Linked DNA regions of Rattus norvegicus. The protein of the gene in region 1 interacts with the protein of each later gene in a pairwise test. Links are inferred from orthologs where the notes say so. Each region holds a gene or a part of one and is shown in the gene's direction. Other genes may lie near its edges.

Region 1 (4,122 bases):
ATTTAGTGCAGCCTATACATGCTCTATGTGTCTACAGGAAAGCAAAATGGAAATCCTGATCCCGGAACCTGGAAGGCAGAACACAAAACTTGAGTCTGTAACCTGCCCTCGAGATCAGTTTTTCTTTTCTTCTCAAATGTTTATTTTTGTGTCTGCGTGAACCTACGACACGCATGCGCAGGTGGTCCCCAGGATGAACCAGATCAGCCTCTGGAAGAGCATAAGTGTTCTTGACCACTGAGCCTCCCCACCAGCCCCATCAGTGTTCTGTTGGAGAAGCAGGGATGCTCAGATAAGCCCGCTTGCCTCTCGGGCTGCTGTGTGGGACTGGATGAAACTGCATTTACAGGACGCCTTGCAAACTGTGATAGTCACCTGACACACAAGCAAGGCCTTCTTGGTGTTGGACGAATCCAGAATCCGTTCACCGAGGGCCTCTCGCTCCAGAGCCTCTCCGTCTCCTTGAGCGCGCACAACACAACTTCTGCAGACAGCTGCGTCGGTTCCTCACTCTGTGCGTGCCCATGAGGAAACGGGAAAAGTGTAATCACGGTCCTAAGAGACGTCGCCTCTACCCTTCAGGACAACTGGGAGTGGGCTAAGGCACACACAACGTCTGTAGGAGACTACAGGCCCCCTTAGGACGTGCCAGGCCAGGGTCAGCCTGCGCGGGGCACGGTCCATCTCAGGGCAGGAGCTTGATGCGGTGTCATGGTTTGTATCAGGGCGCCAAGCAGGGCGCGGGGACACGGTCTACCTCCGCACGGATCCGGGCGCGGGGGCAAGGTCACCGACCCCGGGCGCTGGACCGTCAATAGGAGGCCTGGAAGAACCGGAACGCGGGACAGGCTAGGATCTGAGGTCCAGAGGTGGCTCAGAGCAAGGGCGCCGCCCTAAGACAAGCCCTCTACGAACTTCAGGGCCCGGTGTGAGGGGTGGGCGGGGCACTGGTGAAGGCGGGGCATGCGGGGAGGAAGGGCTCGCGGTGAGGAGGAGGTGCGCGGTGAGGGCGGGGCCACGCAGGGAGGGCAAGGAGGGCGGGGCTACACGATGAGGGCGGGGAGCGCGGTCAGGGCGGGGCCACGCAGGTATGAGGGGCACGGGGTGAGGTGGGGCCGCGCAGGGAGAGCGGGGACCCCGGGGAGCGTGGGGAGGGCGGAGTCACGCAGGAATGAGGAGCTTGGGGTGAGGGCGGGACCACTCAGGGAGGGCGGAGTCACGCAGGGAGGGCGGGGCATGCGGTGAGGGAGGGGAGCGCGGTTTGGGCGGGGCCGCGCGGGAGAGCGGTGTGGGCGAGGAGGGCGGGGCCACGCAGAGGATAGCGGGCACCGGGTGAGGCGAGGCCGCGCAGGAAGAGCGGGGAACCCGGGGAGCGCGAGGAGGGCGGAGCCACGCAGGAAGGGCAGGGCATGAGTTGAGCCTAAAGCGCGAGGTGAGGGGGAAACCGCGCAGGGAGGGCGGGGCCGCGCGGGAAGGAGCTGCGCGAGGTGAGAGCAGAGCGCGCAGGGAGGGCGGGGCACCCGAGAAAGGCGGGGCTGTAAGCGCCCTCCTTGCAGCGACTGGCGGGCCTGCGAGGGGGCGGGGTTTCCGGCGGCAGTGCACTCGGGCATCGACTGACGCAGAGTGGACGGGCGTCACGTGACACGGAAGTGACTCCGAACAGGAAGAGGACGAGAAAAATAACCGTCCGCGACGCCGAGTGGAAGTGGATTAGAGCCACCATGAACAGCAAAGGCAAGGCCGGGAAGCGGCGGAGGTCGTCGGGGACGCGGGCGGGTTCGGGTCGAGTGGGCCCGGGGGCGGCGGGCTCGGGGCGGTCAGGGCCGCTCTCCTCAGCAGGCCGCGGAGCGGGGCCGCACCTGACGTGTCCGCCCCCCCTCCCCCACACACCGCAGCAACTCGGCTCTCCGGGCCCCGGCCCCATAAACTCTGTGGCGCAGTTTGGAGCCGCGGGCTCCAGTGTGTGAGGTGGGGGTGTTTTTCCGTGACTGACACCGGCTGGAGCGAATGGGGAGCTAGAGCAGGGATTTGGGTAGGCCAATGGAGGACCGGCAGAGGCGGGGCGCCGCGCTTCGGAACAACAGGCCTTGGCCGAGCTTAACTCGTGAGGTGCCGGCTCTGCTGCCCAGTCCCGGCCTTCAAGGATCCTTTCCCGCCTGCCTTCGACTTTTCGCGCTCCCTCCTCAGGGCCAGGATTTATAGTCGTGCCTGTGCTAATGTTTGTCAGACCATGGTCGCGTTTACCTCCCGCCCCCAGCCGCCGCCCTTCTCATGGTTAACTTCCATTCACTCACTCTTTGGAAGTCGACCTTGAGTAGGAACCAACCCGTGAGGTAACACGCAGAACCGTGGGTTCCACAGAGTCTGCACTGGTTACCGCACAGTCCGTGGGAGACTACCCGGACTAGAAGTCCCCCCAAAACACCAGCAATCCAGAATCCCCGGCACGGGTTCTCAGACCTGTCCTTTATTTGGGAGGGAACGGGGCCAAGTTACACTTGATTCCTCCATCAGTATGCTAGTGGGAACAGCGCCTTCTGCCCAGTCAGAACCCAGCACCTTCCACTGTGAGGGTGCAGAGACAATCTTTTATTTTCTTGGCTCTAAGAGCTAAGGCCCTGTGGGGCAATCTGTTTGCAATTCTTCTGCTTGAGCTCACCAAGTTAACTGCCCGTTTTACAAATTTTTTTTATTGTCTGTGAATGTGAGGGTAGGTGCCCACAAAGACAGAAGCTAGAGTTGAAAAGAGGTTGTGTCAGATGTGGATGCTGGGAACAGAACTTGGGTCCTCAGGAAGAGTGGCATTTTGTCAGGAGCATCTTTCCTATTTGCCACCTCCCTAATTTGATAGACAACATCTCTCTTCCCCTTTTGTATTCCAGGTCAATATCCAACACAGCCTACCTACCCTGTGCAGCCTCCTGGGAATCCAGTATATCCTCAGACCTTACATCTTCCTCAGGCTCCACCCTATACTGATGCTCCACCTGCATACTCAGAGGTACTGCACTTTGCTAGACTTTTAACTATTTGAATACACTCTTGGACCCCTCCCCCATTGTTAAATCTTCAAATTCAGAAGCAGAGAATGCTCTATGAACCGTCTAAAACATAAGTTAATAATTACCATTGGAATTGAACGCATTATCTGCTTGTTATTTGACATGCTGAGTTAGGCTGAGTTTGGGTCCCTTGAGCCCAGTAGTAGCTGTGGATGCAAATGACCCAGAAACTGTGTGCCAGTGACAGTAACCAGTGTGATCCACACACACAAGAACTGAGAATGGACTCATGAGCCATGCGTGGTGGTAAGACCAGTAGTCTCAGCACACGGAAGGCTCAGGCAGGAGGAGCTTGAGGTCAAGACTGTCTTGGGCTATAGAACCAAACCCCATTTCCAAAACAAAACAAGGGGCTGGGGATGTAGTTGATTTGGTAGAGTGCTTGCTTAGCATGCACCAAGCCCTGGATTTGGTCTCCAGCCCAATGTGAGCTGGATTTGGTGGTGCAGGCTTTTATTTCCATCAGTCAAGAGGTCAAGGCAGGAGAGTCAGGAGTTGAAGGTCATCCACTCCTACATTCTTGCAGGCTAGCCTGAAGTACAGGAGATGGTCTCAGCAATACTTAGAGGAATTTCAAATACCAGTGTCACAGAAATATTTTGCCTTCTCTTCTGCTTCTTTTAGCTCTATCGTCCAAGCTTTGTTCATCCAGGGGCTGCCACAGTCCCCACCATGTCAGCTGCATTTCCTGGCGCCTCGTTGTATCTGCCTATGGCCCAGTCTGTGGCTGTTGGGCCTTTAGGCTCCACGATCCCCATGGCTTATTACCCAGTTGGTCCCATCTATCCACCTGGCTCGGCAGTGCTGGTGGAAGGAGGGTACGATGCAGGTGCCAGATTTGGAGCTGGTGCCACCACTGGCAGCATTCCTGTGAGTATGCCTAACCAAGAGCTCAGCCCTCGTGCACTTGAACCGTCTGAAATGACTTCATACTCATTCTCCTACCATCCCAGGGTAGTAGTAGTCAGGACTGGCACAGCTGCTGCCCTCTCATGACAGAAATGTGGCTGGGCCAATCAGGGCATTGGGCACAGTCCTTAGAGTTAATCAGATTCATTTG
Region 2 (3,500 bases), on another chromosome or scaffold:
CTACCGAGGCCTGGTGCAGAACGACTTCGCCGGCAGTGAGTGGCGGGGCGGGGCGTGGGGCATGGGGGCCTGAGGCTGGACCACCTAGACAAGGCTCACCCAGGTACTTGCTGCTGGTCACCTTTGGTTCTGTCCTAGTGTGTGTACCCTCCCCCCTTTTGGGTCTGCGTCCATGAATCTGGCACAGGGTCTCTGTGGAGTTAAGAGACTGGAGGTCTCTGCCCAGGCCACATCTATCCCTTCCCTCTGATTCTATACAGAGCTCTTTTCCTAAAAAAGGAGGGAGGCAGGCACCAGCTTCATGGGAGAGGGGAAGAAGCTCTTCCTTGTTATGGGCAGAGCCCCGAACATGCCAAATCTGGCCTTTACTGTTCGCTTTTGTGAATGAGAGTCAATGGTCCAGGAGGCAAGGACTTTCCTCTGGGCTTCCCTGGGAGGGTGGATCCTCTGAGCAGGCTTCTCTGTCAGGTCATCAGGGCACACCTGCATGTGGCTGGGATGTGGCTCAGTGGTGGAGCACTTGGGTGTGTGAGGCTCTGGGTACCAGCTCAGGGACTGGCTCAGAATTCTCTCATGGAAGAAAATGTGCCTGCCTTGAAAGCCTGACAGCCTGAGTTTGCTCAGGAGACCCCAGCCCTGACCTCTACACACATGCCTCGTTACCTGTGCACATGGCATGCATGAGCAGATGGAGACTGGTTCCGTGCCCAGCACTGCAGACAAAGCAGATAGCACCGGGTGACCCTGCATGGCTTCCGGCAGGAGAGGACTCAGTAGTCCCCCCCTCTTGTGTTCTGTGCACACAGATGCTAGGAAAGTGCTCGCCTAGCGAGCTGCACCGTTAGACCTGGGATATTCTTCTTACTCTTTGTATGTTTGAGACATGGTCTTACTCTAGCCCGAGCCGGCCTAAAGCTCACGGTCCCCTGCCCCACCCTCCCCAGTGCTGCAGCTGGTCCCCAGGCAAGGACCGCTATGTCTAGTTTGATGGCTCCATTTTAGACAGAACTTGTGGGTGTCTGTCTGGATATGACATCTTCCCTGCCTCTGCCTAAGCATGGAGAGCTCACTGGTGGGCGCCCTGGGCCAGGGTCATCCACACAAACCTCTTCCCGGCCGGTCTCACTCCTCCCTGTGGAGTGTTAGATGGGTCCATGGGTCTGCAAGCCTTGCTTCTGGCTGACACAGGTGGCCCTGCATGTGGGCTTCCTAGTCCCAGACTTCTGTATTTCTAAGATGCTTCTATGTGCTTAAAATCAGAGGTTGCCACCTCCTAGCAGGCAGTGCAGCCTTAGAGTCAAGAAGTTTGTCGTTTGTCACCATGGTGCTGTTATTTTTTTTTTTTTTAAAGATTTATTCATTTATTTTATATAAGTACACTGTAGCTGTCTTCAGACACACCAGAAGAGGGCTTCGGATCTCTTTACAGATGGTTGTGAGCCACCATGTGGTTGCTGGGAATTGAACTCATGACCTCTGGAAGAGCAGTCGGGTGCTCTTAACCGCTGAGCCATCTCTCCAGCCCTATTTTTTTTTTTTTTAAGATTTATTTACTTATCATATATAAGTACACTGTAGATGTCTTCAGACACACCAGAAGAGGGCATCAGATCTCATTACAGATGGTTGTGAGCCACCATGTGGTTGCTGGGAATTGAGCTCAGGACCTCTGGAAGAGCAGTCGGGTGCTCTTAACTGCTGAGCCATCTCTCCAGCCCTGGTGCTGTCGTTTTTGCCCTTAGTCCAGGCCACATGGTTCCTTGCAGCTGGAGCCTGGGCTTCTCTTAGTCCTTCAGTCACTCCTACAAGCAGTGTGTTCTGTGCTGCTGTGGGGACGGGGCCCCAGGGAGAGCCACTGAACAAACCTAGGTGGTCTAAGGGATGCTTCGCCAAGTGTTCCTGAAGGGAAGACAGACAGCAGGGCCGATGTGTGCTTTCTGCTAGCCCAGGGAAAGTAGATTCTAGCTCCTAAAATTAGGTAAACAGAGGTCCTGGAGAACAGTGTTGAAGACAGGCCAGCGAGCACTGGGAGAGGGCAGTAGGGCCTTCTGCTAGGATATGCAGACTAGGCAGGAGTCTCCTAGTCCCAAGGAGGGGCCATGCTTTGTCACCTAGCACAGACCCTGATGCCCAGACAGAAGAGCTGAAGCACTCAGACTGCCACAGTGGCCCAGCACCAGAGCTGCCCTAGACACTGAAGCAGGAAGGCCTCAGGTTCAGGGCTTGCCTGAGAGCCTGAACAACTTGGAGACCCTGTCTCAAAAAGAAGGCTGGGGATGGAGTTCCATGGTAGAGGACTTGTTCGGCCTAGGTTTACTCTTTTTTTTTTTTTTTTTTTTTTTTTTCCCGGAGCTGGGGACCGAACCCTGGGCCTTGCGCTTCCTAGGCAAGCACTCTACCACTGAGCTAAATCCCCAACCCCCTAGGTTTACTCTTATGCTCCTCACTTGTTCCCTTTAAAGAGGAAGGGGAGCTTAGCTGAAGGGAAGGGAAAGGACTCACATGAGCCCCAGTCCAGAGCTGAAGGGAGACTGGCTGCCTCAGTACCCTGGGAAGGAAGTTCTGAAGTGGATGCTGGGGGTGTAGGAGAACAGGATCATCAGACACTCCATTAATAGAAGCCAACCCACGGGAGCACACGGGAGCACACGGCAGCCAGTGATGCCCAACACTTATAGGCCTTTATGGTTCTGGAGGCCAGAGAGGCTCCATGACAGTGGTAGGGGCCCTTAGGTCCAAAGTACTTACTCTCTGTCAGGGATCCCATTTTATAGAAGAGGGAGCTGAGACACAAGGGTCAAGGGTTAACTTAACGAGCCAGGTCACAGTGTGAGTGGGTCATCTGGCTGATGTTATATACTGTGGTCACTTGGGTCCTAGACAGAAGAGTGATTTGAGATAGGTGACCCTGCCTTGGTTGTCCCCCTCCCACTCCCTCCTGTGTCTTTGTGTCCCACTGCACTCACATGTGCCTGGCTGGGCTGACCTGTGTGTGCCTCTCCTTGCCCAGTCTCTGAGGAACAGTGCTTGTATCAGATCTATATTGATGAGCTGTATGGAGGCCTGCAGAGACCCAGCGAGGATGAGAAGAAGAAGTAAGTCAGGGTCTGGCCTGATGGGGTGGGCAGGGACCGGCCTCCCTACCCCTTCATGTCAGCCAGCACTTGATGGGTGCTGCCTTCATATATGTGGAGAGGGGGAGGCAGTGACAGTAGACAGGCTCCACCCAGGTTTGTCGCTCCTGCCTTGCAGAATGGGAGGTATAAGTCCTGGGGTGGGCTGAGGAAAGGCCGCCCTCAGAGTCAGCTTTAAGTCAGGAGCTGCGAGGAACGTGGCTGATGGGGAGTCATAAAGTTCTGGTGCCAGCATGTAGCGAGTTTGCAACCCACAGGGACCTGGTGGCATCAGTGCTGCCAGCCATCTCAAAAGCCAGCCTGGCTGGGTGCTCCGACCTGGGAGCAGCCACATACAGGATCTGTTTCTTGACGCTCAGCCGTGGC
Region 3 (3,500 bases), on another chromosome or scaffold:
TGTTTTTAACCCTGCAGTTCTCTTTTTGTAAATGTTTCACATATTAAAAAAAAAATCTTGTGTTGTTATAAATGCGATGCATTTTTTTCTTTCTAAAAGAATGGAAACCAGATTTTTGCCCAATTGTATAGTTATTTAAAGGCTAAGTGCGTGTGCAAGCAGGGGTGGCTATGTTGTATACATGTGGTGGTGATTTTGGCAAGTTGGCCAAAGAATTAACTCTTCAGACTAGAGTAGAAAGAACATCACAAATCTATTTAATATACTGCACGACCAGTGGCCATGGTGTCAGAACTGCCTGCCTGTCATTTGTAGATGACATTACTGTCTCCCTTATGTGTGATATGTTTGCTTAAAGTTTTTAGAAAATCAGATTTTAATTGTGGCAAAGTATCAATTTTGTTTATATTTTGTACTTTTTTTTAAATAAAGCACATTCTGCAAGGTATTAAACATATTCCCCTGCATTGTCCCAGGAGTTACTTGTTTTGCTTTTGCTGTGCTTGGAGATCAAACCCAGGCCTTAGGCCAGTGATCTGCCAGTGAGCTGCACTCCTGGTCCATCCAGAAGTTTTATTGTCGGATTTTACATTGAGGTTTGTAAAGCACTTGGAGATGTTGTTTGTATGTTAGGAAGTGCAGAAGTGGGGCTGAGAGATGGCTCAGCGGTTAGAGCACTGGCTGCTCTTCCAGAGGTCCTGAGCTCAATTCCCAGCAACCACATGGTGGCTCACAACCTTCTGTAATGAGATCTGATGCCCTCTTCTGGTGTGTCTGAAGACAGCTACAGTGTACCCACATACATAAAATAAATAAATCTTAAAAAAAAAAACAAGAAAAAGAAAAAGGAAGTGTAGAAGGTATGCTATGGAGTTTAGAAGGCTGGCGTTGCTCAATTTATTTTTTGAACTTCCGTCTTGAAAGAAATATTTAAATGCACTTGGCTTATTTACTTTTTGTTCACTATTTGTAACTTCTTTCTTGAGTTTTTTAGAAAAAGAGTCATCATAAAAGTGCATGATTTAGATTTCCTCCTTTTGCAAAAGAGTACTTTTGTGAAATAATACTTATCATGAAAAGTTTTTGTCTTAGAAATGTAAAGAGTAGGGTGATTAAAAAGTACATTCTTGATCCAAGTGCAGGAGCCATGGCGATTGGGCTGTGTTTTTCTGTACAACACTGACACTCATATTTAACTGTTGAAAGCAAATTGTAAGTTAAGTGGGGTTACAGTATACACTCTGTTTTGCAGTGTGCTGTTAGTATGACACCTCACACGGTCATCCACTTACCTTTTTAAGTAGATGTGTGTTACTCCATTGTGTAGCTATAAAATGACTTACTTAGGGGCTGGGGATTTGGCTCAGTGGTAGAGCACTTGCCTAGCAAGCGCAAGGCCCTGGGTTCAGTCCCCAGCTCCGGAAAAAAGAAAAAAAAAATGACTTACTTAGTAAACATAGTGGCTTTATACTGTTACAGTAATTATCACATTTGCCTGTATGGATATCTGCTTTGTGGAGGTGTGAAGTTTTTACTAATTGACTAATTTTAATTTTATGTAGGATGAGAAAGCCAAATGCAATAAATATGCTGATGAACTTGCGCAAATGGAGCTGAAGTGGAAAGAGCAAGTGAGAATTGCTGAGAATGTAAAACTCGAACTCGCTGAGCTAGAGGACAGTTACAGTGTAAGTTCAGAGAATGTAAGACTGGAACTCGCTGAGCTAGAGGACAGTTACAGTGTAAGTTCAGAGGCTTGACCCATGGTGCTTAGTGAGCCCGGTCCTGATCCATGTGCCCCCCATAAAACACCAGCCAAGCACAGGTTCCATGCAGATGTCCTGGATATTTAATTACATACAGGTTATTTACTAGCCTGAGAAAAGGGCCTCCCACATGCATTTGTTAATGTGGCTTTAGTTCTGTGGGTTCAGGTGGACTTTGAAATTTACCTTTTAAAAAAGTTTTTAGTACATATTATATATAATAATAGGCTTCATTATATTTTCAGGTATCTATCTATAGTATAGATTTAAGTGGATCCTATGTATGAGGAGAAAATAGATGGTAAAAATATTAACGATAATTTCTCCTTTTTTTAAAATTCAGCTACAGTTGGCAGAGAAAGACAAAGAAATAAATTGCCTGGCTTCATTTTTGGAAAATCTCTCAAGGGAGAAGGTATTGAGTGCTGCACTCGCTGTGGACAGCCTGTAACCAGTGTTTGCTTTCTCTTGTCTGACTTCTCTTTGAAAGCTTTCCTCTGTGTCTTCACTGTTATACCTCCTGCTAGTAAACAGTAATTTGTGTACCATTCTCATTTCCAGATGCCACATCTGCCAATTTTTGAGAAATATGCCAAGTGGTGAAAATTGCTAGTTTGGGCTCCAACACATACTTTGCATTTAACAATAAGCTAAGTTTAAAATACTCAAATTTAGGGAAGAAATGAATTTTTAATTGCGTATTTGTTCAGACATAGGTATTTTCTTGAATCTGTTAACTAAAGGAGAAGGATTGTTACTGTTTCTTGCTAATGTAAAGTTCAAGCCTTAAACAGAACTACAATTGTGAAACTTGTGTCTTCTGTTTTAGCTTGATGCTTGCTGGTGTGTACAGATGCATTAGTAGTCAGGGGCAGAGTTCCGTGGTGTAGTAGAATGTGCAGCTGTTGGATGATCTGCCTAAGGAATGATCTTCAGGTTGTCACTCTGCTACAGAATAAGATTTTCAGACTCATCACTTCCCTGGTTGTCTTTTGTCATTCTGTCAGGAAAGCCCTTTTGTCTTCTCATATTGATGTTTGTATTCTGTGGTTTGACAATAGTCTGCTAATTCACTAGTGTCCAGCAGCCAGTTGTGCTGTCACTGTGAGATAGCATTGCCCTCCTGTATAGGCCAGTGACTCAGCTGCATAAGCTTGCTTCTCCTGCAGGTCAGTTAGGTACTACTATTAAACTACTTCATAATACTTTCCATAATTTTTAAATATGCAGATATGTATGTGTATGTTTATGCTTGTTGGTGTCTGTCTCATCTACTTAACTGCATGTCTGTGAAGAATGCACATTGTACCTGTTTTCCTCATTGTATCTGCAGTCCTTTACAATACCTGCTGTTTGAAGTCAAGCATTTGTTAAATGGAGAAACTAATGGAGCAAATATAATTCATAGCATTTGCCTTTGAAAAAATTTGATGGAAGAAATATACTGAGATCAGTAGCTTTATTGACAGTTTTAAAAATACCAACCTTTTCAGGAACATTGTGTTGGACACTTGTTATCTGCTTTCTTTTACTAGTAATATTGCTATTACTACTACTATACCACCACCACCATTATTATTATTATTATTATTATTATTATTATTATTATTATTATTATTATATCTTTGAACTTGTTCTCGGTTTCCTGTAGTATGGCATTGTTTCTATCACGTTAAAAGTTTTTAAGTATTTGCATTGTGAGTCAAACAGTCTGTTTAATATTTTGTGTCTGTT
Region 4 (4,089 bases), on another chromosome or scaffold:
ATTATGGCTGGACCTCAAACACTTTCATCGGTAGCCTCAGGGATCTTGGTAGGTCTAGAGTTCAGAGAAAACTCAGCCAAAGATCTCCTCTTTATTTTCCCTGTTTTGTGACACCAGAGGTTGAAGCCTGGGTCTCCAGCACACTTGGTAAGCAATTGGTCATAGCTTTACATCTCCAGTCTTCATTATTATTATTGTTGTTGTTGTTGTTGTTGTTACTCTTATTATTAAAGACAGGGTCTCACTATATAGCCCTACCTGACCCAGAACTCAACAGGTAGACACAGATAACTGAACTTCTGATCCTCCTGCCCACACCACTGGAAGACTGGGGTTACATATCTGGCCCAGCACACGGTGCCTTCTCCAGTGGTTTCCAGGAAAGGGAAACAAGACCAGCCTGATGCTGGGCTGGTTTTCAGAAAGAAGTAATGTGTGTTCTGGTCCGAGGGCAGGTCCAAGTTGTGCCCTGACAGACACTGAGGTGTAGTAGCTTCCTAAGTCCTGGTTTCTCCTTCCCTGTCTTTTACTCCTTAGCCTGCCTTTCAGGAGACTGGAAGGCTACAGAGTTTGATACATTATTATGAGGATGACAAGAAAAATACTGCAGTAACGAACAGGGCGATTCGATTTCTATTCTCCCTCCTCCTCCCCATGACACCTATGTTTAAAATCTGAAAAGGAGAAGGCGGTAAGACTCAAAAGTAGCAATAAGACTCTATGATCTCTAAAGAGAAAGAGAAAAAAAATTAGTGATATCCATCCTAGAAAAATTCTGGGTCAGCCCAGATGGAGCAGAGAGCTGCATAGATCTTTACACCTCCATCAGGACCATAACCAGCACGCACACGCTACGTAATGGTGGGTAATGACGCCCTCTCTCTACGCAGATTTCACCTCACTTAAAATGGAACAGGTACGCCAGGCATGCTGTGATTCGAAGGGCCAATCAAGGAAATAAATTAGAAAGCAGCCGCCTCGTTAACACTGCAACATTTCTCTACAGAAACCTCTGTCGCTGGAGGGCGCTGTCCCTCTAAGTCCCGCCAGGCTCGAGCCAATCGCAAGCCCAAAAGAGGGAATTCGGTCCGAAGAGAAGGGGCGGAGAAGGGGCGTGCCTTTCGGCCAATCAGAGAGCAAGCGATTCCCTTGCAAAACTCCGTTGGCCAATGGTAGGGGGAGGGATGAGAGGCGGGCATCCTGCTGTGTGACAGCTGTGCCGACCAATGGGCGTGCGGCCCGCGGCCTATAAGTGTCAGCTGGGCCCGATCCGCCTGGCTCTAAGATCTGTTAGTCCTCCCTGCGGTCGGAGTTGTTCCCTGGGTTTGCCTCGCCGCCGCCGGGTCCCCGCACCCCGCCTTGGCCCGTGCACAGCCACTCTCCCTGCCCTCCTCGCCTTCACCATTCCCGGGTCTCTGCCGTCGAGGCACCGGGGCCGGGTGAATGATGCCGTCGGAGAGTGGAGATGAGAGCCTGGAGCAGCCAGCTGCGCAGGTGGGGACCGGTGCAGCCTCGGCAGTGGCCACGGCTGGGGCGGCCGGCGGCGGCCCGGACCTGGAGGCCTCCTCGGCCTCTCTGGGACGGCACCAGAGCCGACTGAGCTGGCCACAGGTGAAGCGGCTGGACGCGCTGCTCAAAGAGCCCATCCCCATTCACGGGCGAGGCAACTTCCCCACGCTGAGCGTGCAACCCCAGCAGATTGTACAGGTGAGGGGGACCGTGACAGGGTCGGGGCTGGGGGGTGGTGCTCTGCTGCAAGGCACCTGAACTCTGCGATTGGCCTGGCAGCTAGGGAAACTAAGGAACTGGAACCCGGGCTACCAGTTCGGCTCTTCCTGCACCCTGCTGAGCTTGCCTGTCAGCCGTTCTGGGAACTCCTTATTCCCTTGGGAACCACTCACCAAGACCCTGGCTGGGAGGTGGGAAGGAGATGAAGGAGGCACTAGAATGGGGCATCGCCCTGGCAGCCCCCAATGAAGAGTGTATATACTTGATTCCAAAATAGCTTTTCTTCTTCTACTCCACATCCTTAGTAGGGTTCTAGGGGCACTCTGCCCTTGTGTCCCCACAGCCCTTGGCTCAAGAAATCTTGGCTAGGTGAAACAGTTCAGAAGTCCTTGGGGAAATCTCCCTGCCTCCCACGTGTTGTGGCCAGGCTGGAGACCTCACCCCTTTGAAGATAGCATCAAATTTCCATTTTAGGTGTTCCTCCTCCTGTAAGGCTGGAAAGGAAGGCGGGTCCAAGGTTCAGACCCCAAAGCACCATCTCCCTCCTGAGGATCAGATTCTGTCAGCTGCCCCTTGCATCAAACGCCACCTCTTCTTTTTACCTAACCCTGCAAGGGTTAACTCTTAACTTAACTCTTTCCGTGTAGAGCCAGAGCCCTATGGTATTCTGAAATACCAGAAGATGTCTGTTCTTTTCTTCTTCTTCTTCTTCTTCTTCTTCTTCTTCTTCTTCTTCTTCTTCTTCTTCTTCTTCTTCTTCTTCTTCTTCTTCTTCTTCTTCTTTTCTTTTATTCGGAGCTGGGGACCGAACCCAGGGCCTTGCACTTGCTAGGCAAGTGCTCTACCACTGAGCTAAATCCCCAACCCCCAGGATGTCTGTTCTTACCCCACCCCCCATTCTAACTGAGTGGGAGGATGAGCTACCTAAGGCTATCCAGTGAGATGGAGGTCAAGCTCAGGGAATCCTGGAGCCCTCCAGGAGCAGATGGTACGGTTTCCCACCCCTCCCCAGGTTCCCAAGCTCAACATCTAGTCCTGGAGTCCCTGGATAGTGAAAATCAGAAAAGTTAACTAATGCTAGTTCCTGTGTGTTACTGCCAACCACTGTCTTTACACACAAGCCAGGTAAAGCTGGACGCATCACACACACCCCCTTTTGCTATAGCCTTCCCCCCCCAATTGCTTTCCCCGTCACCCCGCTATAGCTATAGCTATAGCCGACAGTGCCCTCCCTAGGAACAAGGAATGAGGTGGAGGGGGTGGGGACGGATTCTCCTGGGCTGACTCACTGGCTGTCCCAGTCGGGATGGCTAAGGCATTCCATGCTCTCCTGACGTTGCCTGGGTTATTAGTAAATGGCTTTGGCCTGTTTTGTTTTTTGTTTTGTTTTGTTTTGAGATGGGGTCCTATGTTTTGCCTGGGCTCCCCTCAAACTCAAATGATCCTCCTGCCCCAGCTTCCTCAGTAGCTGGGATTACGGGTGTGTTGCTACCCTTATGCTGGCTTCTCTCCTGAGGAAATACCATAATCCCAGGCACGAAGAGAAGGAAAGGGGGTGCTCACTCGGGGTGCTTGGCATGATTAGGCCTCTCTATAGGGAAAAGTATCTAAACTGACGCTGGGAGCTTGAACGTGACTGGGTTTCGACCTCTGTCTCCCAGTCATGTTGGGGGTTGAGTCAGTGGGAGTCAATTTCATGGCATTGGTCCTCCTGAACTTCTCATCCCAGAAGGGGAGCTGTTAGCTGTGGAGTGGAGAGGTGGCAGAGGCCTCCGGGCTACTGGGTTCATTGTTTATTCCTTCTATTGGGCTTAGTGGCCCCATCTGTTCAGTGGATGGTGTTTGACTACTCTGCAGAATCCTTTCTGGTTCCAGACTCCCAAGGGACTACACGCCTTCACCTGCCTATGCAGTGAGTCTGTCTCCTGGTGGGAATCCACAGCTAATAGCTCTTTTTTTTTTTCTCTCTTCTTTTTCTTCCTTTTTCTTTTTTTCGGAGCTGGGGACCGAACCCAGGGCCTTGCGCTTCCTAGGCAAGCGCTCTACCACTGAGCTAAATCCCCAACCCCAGCTAATAGCTCTTAAAGCTGTTGGGATGTGAGGGGCTGCACGAGGGAGGAGGGAGACGTTGGGGGGAGAGGGAGGAGCCTGCTAGGACTTCTCACTAGTGTTAAATTGTCTCCAGGTTCAAGAATGGAAGCCTTCTGCTTCTGAGCCCACCAAAGTTTTCCCTACCGCAACAGTCTGAGCAGCTAGGAAAACAGATCCTTGCTTGTGCCTGGGGGACCCACTTTCTTTTTTTTTTTTTTTTTTGGAGCTGGGGACTGAACCCAGGGCCTTAGCTCTACCACTGAGCTAAAT
Region 5 (4,238 bases), on another chromosome or scaffold:
TTCTGCGTTTGTTTCTCCAGCCATGTTGGCACAGCAGACTGTGTGTCCTTGGACACGACTCTCTTCCTGGGATTCCTATTTTGTGTAGTGAGTAAATTAGGCTCAGAGAGGTCCACTAAAGTGACCATGTCTCAGGGGCTCACACAGCCAGAGACAGATAGGCCAGACACTCATCTTGGAATTCTAAAGCCAAGCCCAGCTTCATTCCGCAAGAACAGGGCAGACACACCTGACTACCCTGGCTGCTCCAGCAGGCACCAAAAAAGCCCGCCGTCTCACTCCTGGAGACTGCCTGCCAAGAGGAGCACAGAGTGAACCTGAAGGGTTCCCACATACACCAGGCCTCCTAGAACACAAGCCTCATTCCCTTGGAACAAATATTGGGGAGAGGAAAGCTTGTTATTCCAATAGAGGATTAAGGAATGCCTCTATTCTCAGAGCAGATTTTCAGTCAGGATCATCCAGGCCCCACATGGATGTTTGTTTGTCTTTTAGATAAAGTCTCAGAGTTGCAAAGCTGGCCTAGAACTCGGTCTCCGGAGTGCTGGGATTACCAGTGTGTTTAAGCAAATATTGTCTTTTCTGTTTGTTACTAGCTCAATGCCCTGGTCCATACAGCGGGTTTACGTTTTAGCTACCTGACGTGTTAAATGAGAATGTTGACCTCCATCCATCTCCTGAGGCTGCCTGTGAGAAAACCAAGCTCCAGGACAGAGCCCACTGCCCTACGCCCTTCCCTCACCTCTCGGACCCACCCCTCACGAAATATTTCTTTGGCAAAAACTGCAAAAAGGGCGAGAGAAACGCTAATTTTCTGAGTCTCGTGAGAGGAAACCTATAGAATCCCCAGGCTGACCCTTGCCCTGGTAGCTCTGTCACGTTTTGTTTTTGTTTTTTTTTTTTTTTTTGCCCCTGCCTTTAAGGTTTCTGCATTGCAAAGTGCGTGAACTCAGCAGAGGCCTAGTTTGTGTCGAAATAAGAGACCCCCCGCAGAGGCCTACCTAAGAGGCTCTAAGCAAGTGGGTGGGAGGTAGTTGCGGACCTGGCTAGAGAGAGTTCGGGAAAAAGGGCGGGACTGAGAAGAGACGCATTGCGGATAAAGGTAGGGGGCTGGTGTGTTGGGCAAGGGGGTGGGACCAAAAGGCGCTGCGCATCTGTTGAAGGAGTGGATGCGTAAGGAGAAGGGGAGGAGGAACCTTTGTACACTGTCAACCTGGTTGGCGGTGGGATAGTGTGCTGGCAAAGAGGCGGGATCTCCTCCAAGTGCACATGCGCGACAAGGTCTCCAGGATGAAGCTTTTGTTGGGAAAGCAAGCGGGACTCTTATTTGGACAGTGATCTGTTGCGCATGCGCGGGGCTTCCTGAGGCGGTGGGTGGTATATTAGGCGAAGAGGCGGGGTCGCCCGAGCTGCCGCGCTGGCATTTTCTCCTGGACAAGGAGAGAGTGCGGGTGCAGAGAGCGGAGCAGAGCAGTCCCGATCCTCTGAGTCGTGAAGAAGGAAGCAACGAAGGGGGTTGGGGTTGGGGCCTGAGGCAAGGTGAGACCCGCCCCCGGACTGGGCATCTGCCCCCCTGGTGTGGCGCCCTTCCCCCATTCTTTTATCCCAATCCCCTTTCCCTGAATTCAGAAACCCCCTCCTCTGCCTTACCCCGGACTTACACCTCGCTCCCGACCCTTTCTAATTCGAACTCCCGTTCATTCCCTGAATCTTTATCCAATTCCTTCACTGAATCCTATTTCCCGACCTTGATCCGTTATACGATTCCTCTAGATTCAAAGCCTTAATTCAACTTTACAGACGCGAACCTCTCCCCGCTAACCGCCCCCCCCCCCGCCCCTGTAAACTACCGCATTCAGAGCGCTTATCTGATTCCAAACCGCGGATTTGAAGCTTTTACCTGTCAGCTTCTGGAAATTTTAGATTGTCTATCGGGACGACCATTTACTTTTCCCGCTTCAGTTAGGCCTGTTTCTCCCCGTACCCAGCACCTCACCCGCCCCCATAATCAAACCACACGCGCACACACAATTCGGTCCTACGTATTTTCCTTCTGTAGTATAATGCCTAGTTCCTCTCCCACACCCCCCTCAGGCTCTGCTCTTGCCAGAGAGACAAGAGCTATGGCTCAGAAACCGGACGGCGGTGCAGGCCTCCGCGGCTTCCAGGTGAGAACCCCGCTCCCAATTCCTCCATTTTCCTTGCTGACAGATTACGCCCACCCCTGGCCCCTCAGGTCGCGCAAATGGCAGGATCTGATTTTGCCCTTCTTCCGGCCTAGACTCCGCGGGCTCTCAAATTTCTAGCGTTTATCGAATAGGGGGGAGGGGCGGCCCTTTTCAGCCATCGGTCCCTGCTTAGAGAAAGGGGAGACCCTGTTAGTCAGGGCATTCTGCCCAGAGAATGCGGGTTGGGTAAGGAACCATTTTTTTTCCATAACCCTGACGCGTGTAGAGCAGTCTGTCGCCCCATCCCCCAACCTCTCGCCTCCACCCTCCCTTTCTCCACGCCGCGAGACTCCCCCTCCACCCTCCTCTGTTTATCCTCCTCAATTCCTCCGTCCTCAGGTCTTGAGCTCCCCACGGCAAGCCTCACGAGTCTGTCTCTAAACCCATTCGGGGTTCAGTGCTTGCACCACATTCCGCACCAGCCCCTGCTGCCTCCGACTGTCCCTCACCTTGCCCTGCCCCCTCTACCTTTAATTAAATTTTGTTCCCGCCCCGCCTCCCTTTGACCCGCCTCTGCCCCCATGTCTGAGTACTGTAACGCCTGTCTACAGTTCCCCTGCTGCGTTGCGCCGTGCCCCTCCTTCAGGTCTGGCTTGTAAGGCCCAGAGATTAAAATTTCCCCCTCCTGTATTTGCAGGCAGAGGCCTCTGTAGAAGACAGCGCCTTGCTTGTGCAGACCTTGATGGAAGCCATCCAGATCTCCGAGGCTCCGCCCACCAGCCAGGCCACAGCAGCTGCCAGTGGGCCGAATGCTAGTCCCCAGAGTTCACAGCCCCCAACTGCCAATGAGAAGGCTGATACTGAGGTTTCAGCAGCTGCTGCCAGGCCTAAGACAGGCTTTAAGGCCCAGAATACCACCACAAAGGGGCCAAATGATTACTCTCAGGCACGTAATGCCAAGGAGATGCCCAAGAATCAGCCTAAGGTGGCCTTTAAGTCACAGAATGCCACCTCTAAAGGTCCACATGCTGCCTCTGATTTTTCCCATGCAGCATCCACAGGCAAATCAGCAGCTAAAAAGTCTGAAATGGCCTTTAAGGGTCAGAATACCACTACTAAGGCTGGCCCCAGTGCCACCTACAATTTCACTCAGTCTCCCAGTGCCAATGAGATGACCAACAACCAGCCTAAGACAGCTAAGGCTTGGAATGACACCACTAAGATCCCTGGAGCTGATGCCCAGACCCAGAATGTAAACCAGGCCAAAATGGCTGACGTAGGGACCAGTGCAGGTATCTCTGAAACTGACGGTGCAGCAGCCCAGACCTCAGCAGATGGCTCCCAGGCTCAGAATGTGGAGTCCCGGACTATAATTCGGGGCAAGAGGACCCGCAAGGTGAGATCCCTGCTGGCTTCCCTTTGCTTTGAGGTCTCTCCTTTCTTTGAATTTCCTTTGCTCCAAACAAAATAAAGGGCACATATATATCTCTATTTTGGCAAAGTTGTAGGGGGAGCTGAAATAAATATTTATTCCTGACCCCCGGTTGTCCACAGATTAATGATGAGTTGATACAAGGACACAGGCAGTATGTGTGCAGACCGTCTTACATTTGACAGTAAACACCATGTCTTAAGCTAGGCAGGCTCACCCAGAATTATCATTAGATTTTGAAGATCCACCTCACAAGCAAGAGAGACCACAGTCAGGGAGAAATGAGTTCAGGGTGAAACCAAGCAGTGCACAGGAAAGGGAGAAACCCCGGGCTCCACTTTGTGTTTTTCTTTCTCTGGTTTGGAGATGAAATGCTTTCCTGAAAGACAGTGAGGAACCAAGTGGCTAATGGCTAGTGAGGTATAGGTGAGGATTCCTAGGGACTTCCTAGGATAGCTACTGGGGGTGCCAGGATTAATAGTGACCCTGAAATTTTCTTCTCTCTAATGATACAGATTAATAACTTGAATGTGGAAGAGAACAGCAATGGGGACCAAAGGCGTGCCTCGCTGGCTTCCGGGAACTGGAGGTCTGCTCCGGTTCCAGTAACCACTCAGAACCCACCTGGCGCACCCCCT
Region 6 (2,169 bases), on another chromosome or scaffold:
TGAGCTAACCTTTTTTTTTTTAATCTCATTTTCCCAGGGCTCAGTTGGATGTCTTACTCGAGGTAATGGTCATTTCATGTGCACTTTGCAGAGTCTGCTCTTACAAATACTACGATTTAAATCCTGAAGTGTAACTGACGTTTCTGTTCTCTGCCTCCTATCCCCATTCCCTTAGGCTTGGCCAGACTCCTGAACGAGTGTTGGACCGGAGCATGAAGAATACGTATCTTCCACCTCCTCTCCTCCCTAACAAAGCTGCCACTGTGAAGCCTGTAGGAGCCACCTCAGCAGAGCCTCAGGAGCTGGCAGGTCCTGTGCTCCAGGCACTTCCATCACCAGCCTCAACTGCAACCCCACCAGCAACCCCCACTCACCCACAGCCCTCTGCCCTGCCACCCTTGGCCACAGAGGGGACTGAGTGTCTGAATGTCAATGAACAGGAGGAGGGAAGCCCTGTCACCCAGGAGCCTGAACCAGCATCAGGTGCTGGAAGTGGTGGCAGTGGGGTTGGCAAAAAAGAGCAGCTGTCTGTGAAGAAGCTTCGGGTAGTGCTGTTTGCCCTGTGCTGCAACACAGAGCAGGCGGCTGAACACTTCCGAAACCCCCAGCGGCGAATTCGCCGTTGGCTTCGACGCTTTCAGGCCTCTCAGGGAGAGAATTTAGAGGGCAAATATCTCAGCTTTGAGGCAGAAGAAAAACTGGCTGAATGGGTGCTGATCCAGAGAGAGCAGCAGCTCCCTGTAAATGAAGAGACCTTGTTTCAGAAGGCCACCAAAATCGGACGCTCTTTGGAAGGGGGATTTAAGATCTCCTATGAGTGGGCTGTGCGCTTTATGCTCCGGCACCACCTCACTCCCCATGCCCGGCGAGCTGTAGCCCACACGTTACCGAAGCATGTAGCAGAAAATGCTGGACTCTTCATTGAGTTTGTGCAGCGGCAGATTCACAACCAAGACTTACCTTTGTCTATGATTGTGGCTATCGATGAGATCTCTTTGTTTCTGGACACAGAGGTGCTGAGCAGTGATGACCGGAAGGAGAACGCTCTGCAGACAGTGGGCACAGGGGAGCCTTGGTGTGACGTCGTGCTGGCTATCCTAGCAGATGGCACTGTCCTCCCCACCCTGGTTTTCTTCCGAGGTCAAGCGAATCGGCTTGCTAATGTGCCAGACTCTATATTACTAGAGGCTAAAGACAGTGGCTATAGTGATGATGAAATCATGGAGCTTTGGTCCACCCGTGTGTGGAAGAAGCACACAGCTTGTCAGCACAGCAAAAGCATGCTGGTGATGGACTGTCATCGCACTCACTTGTCAGAAGAGGTGCTGGCCCTGCTCAGTGCCTCTAGCACTTTGCCTGCGGTGGTTCCCGCAGGCTGTAGCTCTAAAATCCAGCCACTAGACGTGTGCATCAAACGAACTGTTAAGAACTTCCTGCACAAAAAGTGGAAGGAGCAGGCTCGGGAAATGGCAGATGCTGCTTGTGATTCTGATGTCTTGCTTCAGCTGGTGTTGGTCTGGCTGGGTGAGGTGCTGAGTGTCATTGGGGACTCCCCAGACCTAGTTCAGCGGTCCTTCCTTGTGGCTAGTGTTCTGCCAGGCCCTGATGGCAACGTTAACTCACCCACACGCAACGCTGATATGCAGGAGGAGCTCATTGCCTCCCTCGAGGAGCAGCTAAAGCTAAATGGAGAACAGTCCGAGGAGCACTCAGCTTCTGCCCCCCGACCCAGGTCATCGCCTGAAGAGACAGTTGAGCCTGAAAGCCTTCATCAGCTTTTTGAGGGAGAAAGTGAGACAGAGTCTTTCTATGGCTTTGAGGAAGCTGACCTAGATCTGATGGAGATTTAGGTGCTGAGGCTATGGAATCATTGAATCGGGTAGGAAAGTTGAGGGAGGTTAGAGGGGCTTAGACAGGAGGGGTACCAGTGGGGTACTTGGTTTATAATTTCAATTTATGCCACCACTCCCGACATTGACTCTTCCTGTGAACTTGTGGGTTATTATGAACACCAGTCAGTAATGATCAGTTCTGAGCCGAGGAGCTGGCCCATTGGTTACTCCTGCTAAAACCATGTTTTTGTGACCCTTTTTTCTTCTTTAATTTAAATCACTGTGTTTGCTATTTTTCGGACAAAATCTAGGAAAACAATCCTTTGTGGACAAATAT
Region 7 (4,089 bases), on another chromosome or scaffold:
CTCTGTTTCCATGATGTCTCTCATCTGTACTTTGTTCTTGGGTACTGGAGAATGTTTGGGTGAACAGCCTCACACTGAATGGAAGGCCTCTGTGGAGTGCATTGAGGTGTTCTCTCATTTTCTGTACTTAAATGAATGCTGAGTAGTTGCTAGGAGCCAGTTTTGTTCACAGAACTGCCTCTTGTTCCTACAGATCTTTGTGGAGTTCACCTCTGTGTTTGACTGCCAGAAAGCCATGCAGGGTCTAACCGGCCGCAAGTTCGCCAACAGAGTGGTGGTCACAAAATACTGTGACCCTGACTCGTACCACCGTCGGGACTTCTGGTAGAGGTGGCTGGGGGAGGGTGGGGGCAGGGCTGGCTGGGGACTTTCCCCCCCACCTGTCCCCTCCTCCTTTCCCCCCTCTGAAGATGATGGGCAGAGGAGTGACAGCCGAATGACAGCCGGCAGCAACTGGAATGGCAGCAATTAAGGGGGGTGGGGGGGTGGGGGGGCTAGGGCAGGAAGGGGACTGGGCAAGTGCACACAGGCCCACAGACACATGCACCCACACAGACACAGAGGGAACGGGCTGGGATGGGGACTGTGTGCACAGCAGGGCGGGTAGGACCCCCCACAGCCCCTTCCCAAACAGCCTCTTAACCCTTACACCCCTTTCCTCCTCTCTTACCCCATGGTAGGAACATAGCGTGTTTATATTTTATGGCCAAACTATTTTGAATTTTGTTGTCTGGCCCTCAGTGCCCTGCCTTCTCCCTTTGCAGGACCACAGCTCCCGTCCTCTGGCTTTGGTCCTCCCTGTTCTCCACCCTGGTTTCTTAAGTAGTTGGTTCTTCTTAGTCTTCCTGACCCTCAACCCGTGGTCTCAGTCCTGCTCCTCCTCTCTGTGGCAGTTTCATATTTGCTAATACGAATTTGCTCATTAAACATTTTGTTGTATTTTACTTTATGGCGCCCATCTGTGTCCAGTGTGTCCGCCCTTCTCTTTCGCCCGAGGGTGTGGAGGGTGGCACCTAGGGAGGGAGACAGGCTTGAGGGTCCTGCAAGGGTATCTGTGGTGGAGAGGCTTCAAGGTAGTAGGTTGGATGTTTCAGTATATCCACTGCTGCGTAGATGCGGAAGTGACGCAAGGGCACAAGGACGCGTCCCGTGCGCCGGAAATGATGCCGGGGTGGGTTTGGTTGCGGAAGTGGAGGCTGCCGGGCGAAGTGCAGAGGGCGGGGCACGCGGGGTCATTTCCGCTTCCGGTCCGCCGCCACCTTCGGTTGCTTCCCGTCCACTCGGAGGCTCCCCTCCCCCGCCCGGCTCTCCGCGCCCCTCCCGGGCGCCGGGGCGGCGGGGCCGTCGCCGTGCGGCCCTCCGTGCGTCTGTGCGTGCGCACGTGCGCACTTCTGCATCCCGCAGCCCGGCGCGCGCCCGGCGACACCGAGGCCGAGCGGGGGCAGGGGTCTGACCGTCATGACCCCCGGGAGCCCGGTGTAAGCGGGCCGAGGTGAGCGAGGGGCGCAATGCTGGCCTCCGTCGCGGCAAGTCCGGTGTTCCGACCTGGGCAGTGGCGCGCGCGGGTCCAGCCAGACTCGGAGCCGGTGTTCCAGCCGCTGATGGCTTGTGGCTGCTTTTGTACCGCTGTGCCCGGGTCGGGGTTGCCTGCCGGTGTGTGTCTTTTTTTGGGATTGTCAGTGTCCCCGTCTCGCGTGGCCCTGTTTGTGTTTCTCTGCCTCTGTGTTTCGGTGTTTGTACAAAAAGGTTTGGAGGTCCGAGTGCTGTGTGTTTGTGTCCTGGATCGCTCCGTGTTCCTGTCAGGATGCAGTTCTTGTCTTTTCTGGGTTTCTGTGTCTTCATTTCCCCAGACTCGTTTCCCTCTAGTGCATATTTCTCTCCCGTTCTTGCTATCGTCCCCAGGTACTAAATTCCTTCCTAGGAACCTATTGCTTTGGTTTAGAATGTGCCTCCCAGGTTTTTGAGTCTCTGGTGTTCTGGTAGGAGCTCTGGCTGTGGAATCCAGAGCCCCCGCTGCTTTCCTCGGTCTTGAGACTTCAGTTTTCTAGCCTTCTAAACGGAAGCATTCATAGTTCCTGCACCACAGGGTCTCTGCGCATTAATTGAGTCGGTGCTGGTAAAGTGCCTAACAATGTCTGGCCTGGAGTTAAGCATGTGATTACTATTATTAGAGGTTTTATTTCGCTTAGTATTTGATACCAGGTTTTTGAGTTCCCCTTGGGAGAATTTCGCTATATTGTTTGCACTGCTTAATAAGCAATTCTAAATTAATCAAATGTGGAAAATTGACTCATTTTCAGCAGCATTTGTGAGATCTAGTATGTTTTTTGAACATGCTTGGAGTAGGTAGTTGGTGTTAGGATAGTGCATCTTTATATGCCACCCTTTGGAAATGTCTTTTTCTGATAATTATAGCAGCCAGGGGTACTGAGCGCCTACTATCTGTGGGGCACAGATCCAAGTCTTTTATGTACCCATCTTATTTAATCAGCAAGCTTGCCGGCTAGCACCCCTCCCTTTGTTACACAGTTAGGTGAACTGAGTCACAGGTTTGTTTTGCTGGTTGCTTATGTGGCCGGGATTTGAGTGTAAATTTTGTGTTCTTTTAAATTATATCTCCTGCCTCTCCCACCCCCAGGTCAGAGCATGTGTGTGTGTGTGTGTGTGTGTGTGTGTGTGTGTGTGTGTTTTGTTTTAGGGTCCCTGCCTTTCTGTCCTCCTGCCTTGCTGTCTTCCCCATGATTCTGTATTGCTTTTTTTTTTTTGCCTGAGTTTTTGTGTGCCTCTTTCCTTCTCTCCCTCCCTCTTACCCCTCTCTTTCATGTGTGTCACATCTGTTTGTCTTCTGGTGTCTGTTCAGACCTGATTTGGGACCCTGCTACTTTCTTTTCCCCTTTGCCTAGTTATACCTGTTAGCAGGTACTCCATTCTCTGGCCTGAGTTCAAGGTAAAGAGCAGCCTCTCCCATTCACCTATGTCTTCCTTCAGGTTGGATCATGGTAGGGCTCAGTAAATCTCCCTCCATGGCTTGTTGGAGAGGCATAGACTGTTGATCGGAGTCTACTCTGGACCCAGGCTGCTCCAGTTGTGAGGTGTGTGTCCCTGGGCAAGGTGCTAATGGAGTACCTCCTGTGTAAAGTGACTTTGAGTCATGGATTTGTAAGAATTAATTGAGTTGATAGCTTAAAGGACTTAATGGGTGCCTAGAAGGTTGTGGAAGTGCTTATTAATATTATCTAGATTTCTGCCCTTGATGCTTTCTGTCAGCTGGTCACAGCACAGGTTAATTTATTTAGGTTAATTTAAAAGCATGCATTTAATGGCACACACCTTTAACCCAGCACTTGGGAGGGAGGGACACGTGGATTTATCTCTTCAACTTCCAGGATAGTCAAGGCCTTGTAGAGAGATGTGTCACTGATCCCCCCCCCCCCCCCCCCCGCCCCCAAATAGGAGTTTATAGAGGTAAAGTAGGTTTGATAGTTGAGTCTGCTTTGATATTTATGATGTGACCTTGGCCAAGTTATTTAACTTCCATGAGGCCATTGTCTGCATTCAGTGTTAAATGAGACAATATGTGCCTCGTGCATAGCACAGTTGGTGTCCATTAGTGGGGACTCCTACATTTCTTATCTCTCTGCTCCCTTGAGCCTTGAGCTTCCCTCCCTACCCTCAGGACAACTAGTCCCTGGGCATCCCCCAGCCTCCCACTACCTTGGGCTGTCTTCTCTGTCTCCCTACCATTTTTTAAGTCCCATCTTTGGCCTCTTTTGCCATGACTCCTGTCCCAGGGTTGTTTGCTTCTTTCTTTCTCCATTTCCTTCCTGCACTGTTGTTCGAGTGGTTTTTCCCAGTCAGCTTCTGTGCAGGGAAAACCAGTATTGTTTCCACCACTGTGGGTCTTAGGTAAACCATAGTTTCAAAATCAAGACAAATAGCTCTAAAATCACAAGAATCCACTCACAGGAGCATCTCTGGGAACAGTGACAAAGGCATTTGAGTTCGTATAAGTAGCACCCTAGGGATGTGTGGCAAGTCTGGTGAGGAAGGAGGAAAAGTTTGTTAGCAGGACAGGACAGGGTATCCCCC

The links.
Region 2: the proteins of Dazap2 (region 1) and Clasrp interact in a two-hybrid assay, tested with the Homo sapiens proteins (2 studies listed by BioGRID and IntAct). The link is inferred for Rattus norvegicus from reciprocal best matches to the Homo sapiens genes DAZAP2 and CLASRP.
Region 3: the proteins of Dazap2 (region 1) and Tax1bp1 interact in binary tests that used the Homo sapiens proteins (3 or more experiments, as listed by UniProt). The two-hybrid records come from large-scale screens. The link is inferred for Rattus norvegicus from reciprocal best matches to the Homo sapiens genes DAZAP2 and TAX1BP1.
Region 4: the proteins of Dazap2 (region 1) and Tent5b interact in binary tests that used the Homo sapiens proteins (3 or more experiments, as listed by UniProt). The two-hybrid records come from large-scale screens. The link is inferred for Rattus norvegicus from reciprocal best matches to the Homo sapiens genes DAZAP2 and TENT5B.
Region 5: the proteins of Dazap2 (region 1) and Maged1 interact in binary tests that used the Homo sapiens proteins (3 or more experiments, as listed by UniProt). The two-hybrid records come from large-scale screens. The link is inferred for Rattus norvegicus from reciprocal best matches to the Homo sapiens genes DAZAP2 and MAGED1.
Region 6: the proteins of Dazap2 (region 1) and Pogz interact in binary tests that used the Homo sapiens proteins (3 or more experiments, as listed by UniProt). The two-hybrid records come from large-scale screens. The link is inferred for Rattus norvegicus from reciprocal best matches to the Homo sapiens genes DAZAP2 and POGZ.
Region 7: the proteins of Dazap2 (region 1) and Epn1 interact in binary tests that used the Homo sapiens proteins (3 or more experiments, as listed by UniProt). The two-hybrid records come from large-scale screens. The link is inferred for Rattus norvegicus from reciprocal best matches to the Homo sapiens genes DAZAP2 and EPN1.

The regions. Positions count from the first base shown.
Region 1 is NC_086025.1:133,592,215-133,596,336, forward strand, and holds the start of Dazap2 (DAZ-associated protein 2), read left to right. Parts: upstream 1-1,322; 5' UTR 1,323-1,432; intron 1,433-1,487; exon of another isoform or gene 1,488-1,556; 5' UTR 1,557-1,721; coding exon 1,722-1,734; intron 1,735-2,882; coding exon 2,883-3,001; intron 3,002-3,686; coding exon 3,687-3,932; intron 3,933-4,122. UniProt on the Homo sapiens protein: In unstressed cells, promotes SIAH1-mediated polyubiquitination and degradation of the serine/threonine-protein kinase HIPK2, probably by acting as a loading factor that potentiates complex formation between HIPK2 and ubiquitin ligase SIAH1.
Region 2 is NC_086019.1:88,370,844-88,374,343, reverse strand, and holds part of Clasrp (CLK4-associating serine/arginine rich protein), read left to right. Parts: coding exon 1-35; intron 36-117; exon of another isoform or gene 118-3,010; coding exon 3,011-3,095; intron 3,096-3,500. UniProt on the Homo sapiens protein: Probably functions as an alternative splicing regulator. May regulate the mRNA splicing of genes such as CLK1. May act by regulating members of the CLK kinase family.
Region 3 is NC_086022.1:83,190,623-83,194,122, forward strand, and holds part of Tax1bp1 (tax1-binding protein 1 homolog), read left to right. Parts: intron 1-1,562; coding exon 1,563-1,688; coding exon of another isoform or gene 1,689-1,742; intron 1,743-2,109; coding exon 2,110-2,181; intron 2,182-3,500.
Region 4 is NC_086023.1:150,977,949-150,982,037, forward strand, and holds the start of Tent5b (terminal nucleotidyltransferase 5B), read left to right. Parts: upstream 1-1,289; 5' UTR 1,290-1,443; coding exon 1,444-1,707; intron 1,708-4,089. UniProt on the Homo sapiens protein: Catalyzes the transfer of one adenosine molecule from an ATP to an mRNA poly(A) tail bearing a 3'-OH terminal group in an ATP hydrolysis-dependent manner.
Region 5 is NC_086039.1:63,420,186-63,424,423, reverse strand, and holds the start of Maged1 (melanoma-associated antigen D1), read left to right. Parts: upstream 1-1,438; 5' UTR 1,439-1,539; intron 1,540-2,094; 5' UTR 2,095-2,123; coding exon 2,124-2,168; intron 2,169-2,865; coding exon 2,866-3,564; intron 3,565-4,115; coding exon 4,116-4,238. UniProt on the Homo sapiens protein: Involved in the apoptotic response after nerve growth factor (NGF) binding in neuronal cells. Inhibits cell cycle progression, and facilitates NGFR-mediated apoptosis. May act as a regulator of the function of DLX family members.
Region 6 is NC_086020.1:185,125,904-185,128,072, forward strand, and holds part of Pogz (pogo transposable element with ZNF domain), read left to right. Parts: intron 1-37; coding exon 38-62; intron 63-175; coding exon 176-1,850; 3' UTR 1,851-2,169. UniProt on the Homo sapiens protein: Plays a role in mitotic cell cycle progression and is involved in kinetochore assembly and mitotic sister chromatid cohesion.
Region 7 is NC_086019.1:77,786,612-77,790,700, reverse strand, and holds the start of Epn1 (epsin-1), read left to right. Parts: upstream 1-1,289; 5' UTR 1,290-1,492; intron 1,493-2,988; 5' UTR 2,989-3,092; intron 3,093-4,089. Other genes in the region: U2af2 (U2 small nuclear RNA auxiliary factor 2), read left to right, coding at 194-328. UniProt on the Homo sapiens protein: Binds to membranes enriched in phosphatidylinositol 4,5-bisphosphate (PtdIns(4,5)P2). Modifies membrane curvature and facilitates the formation of clathrin-coated invaginations. Regulates receptor-mediated endocytosis.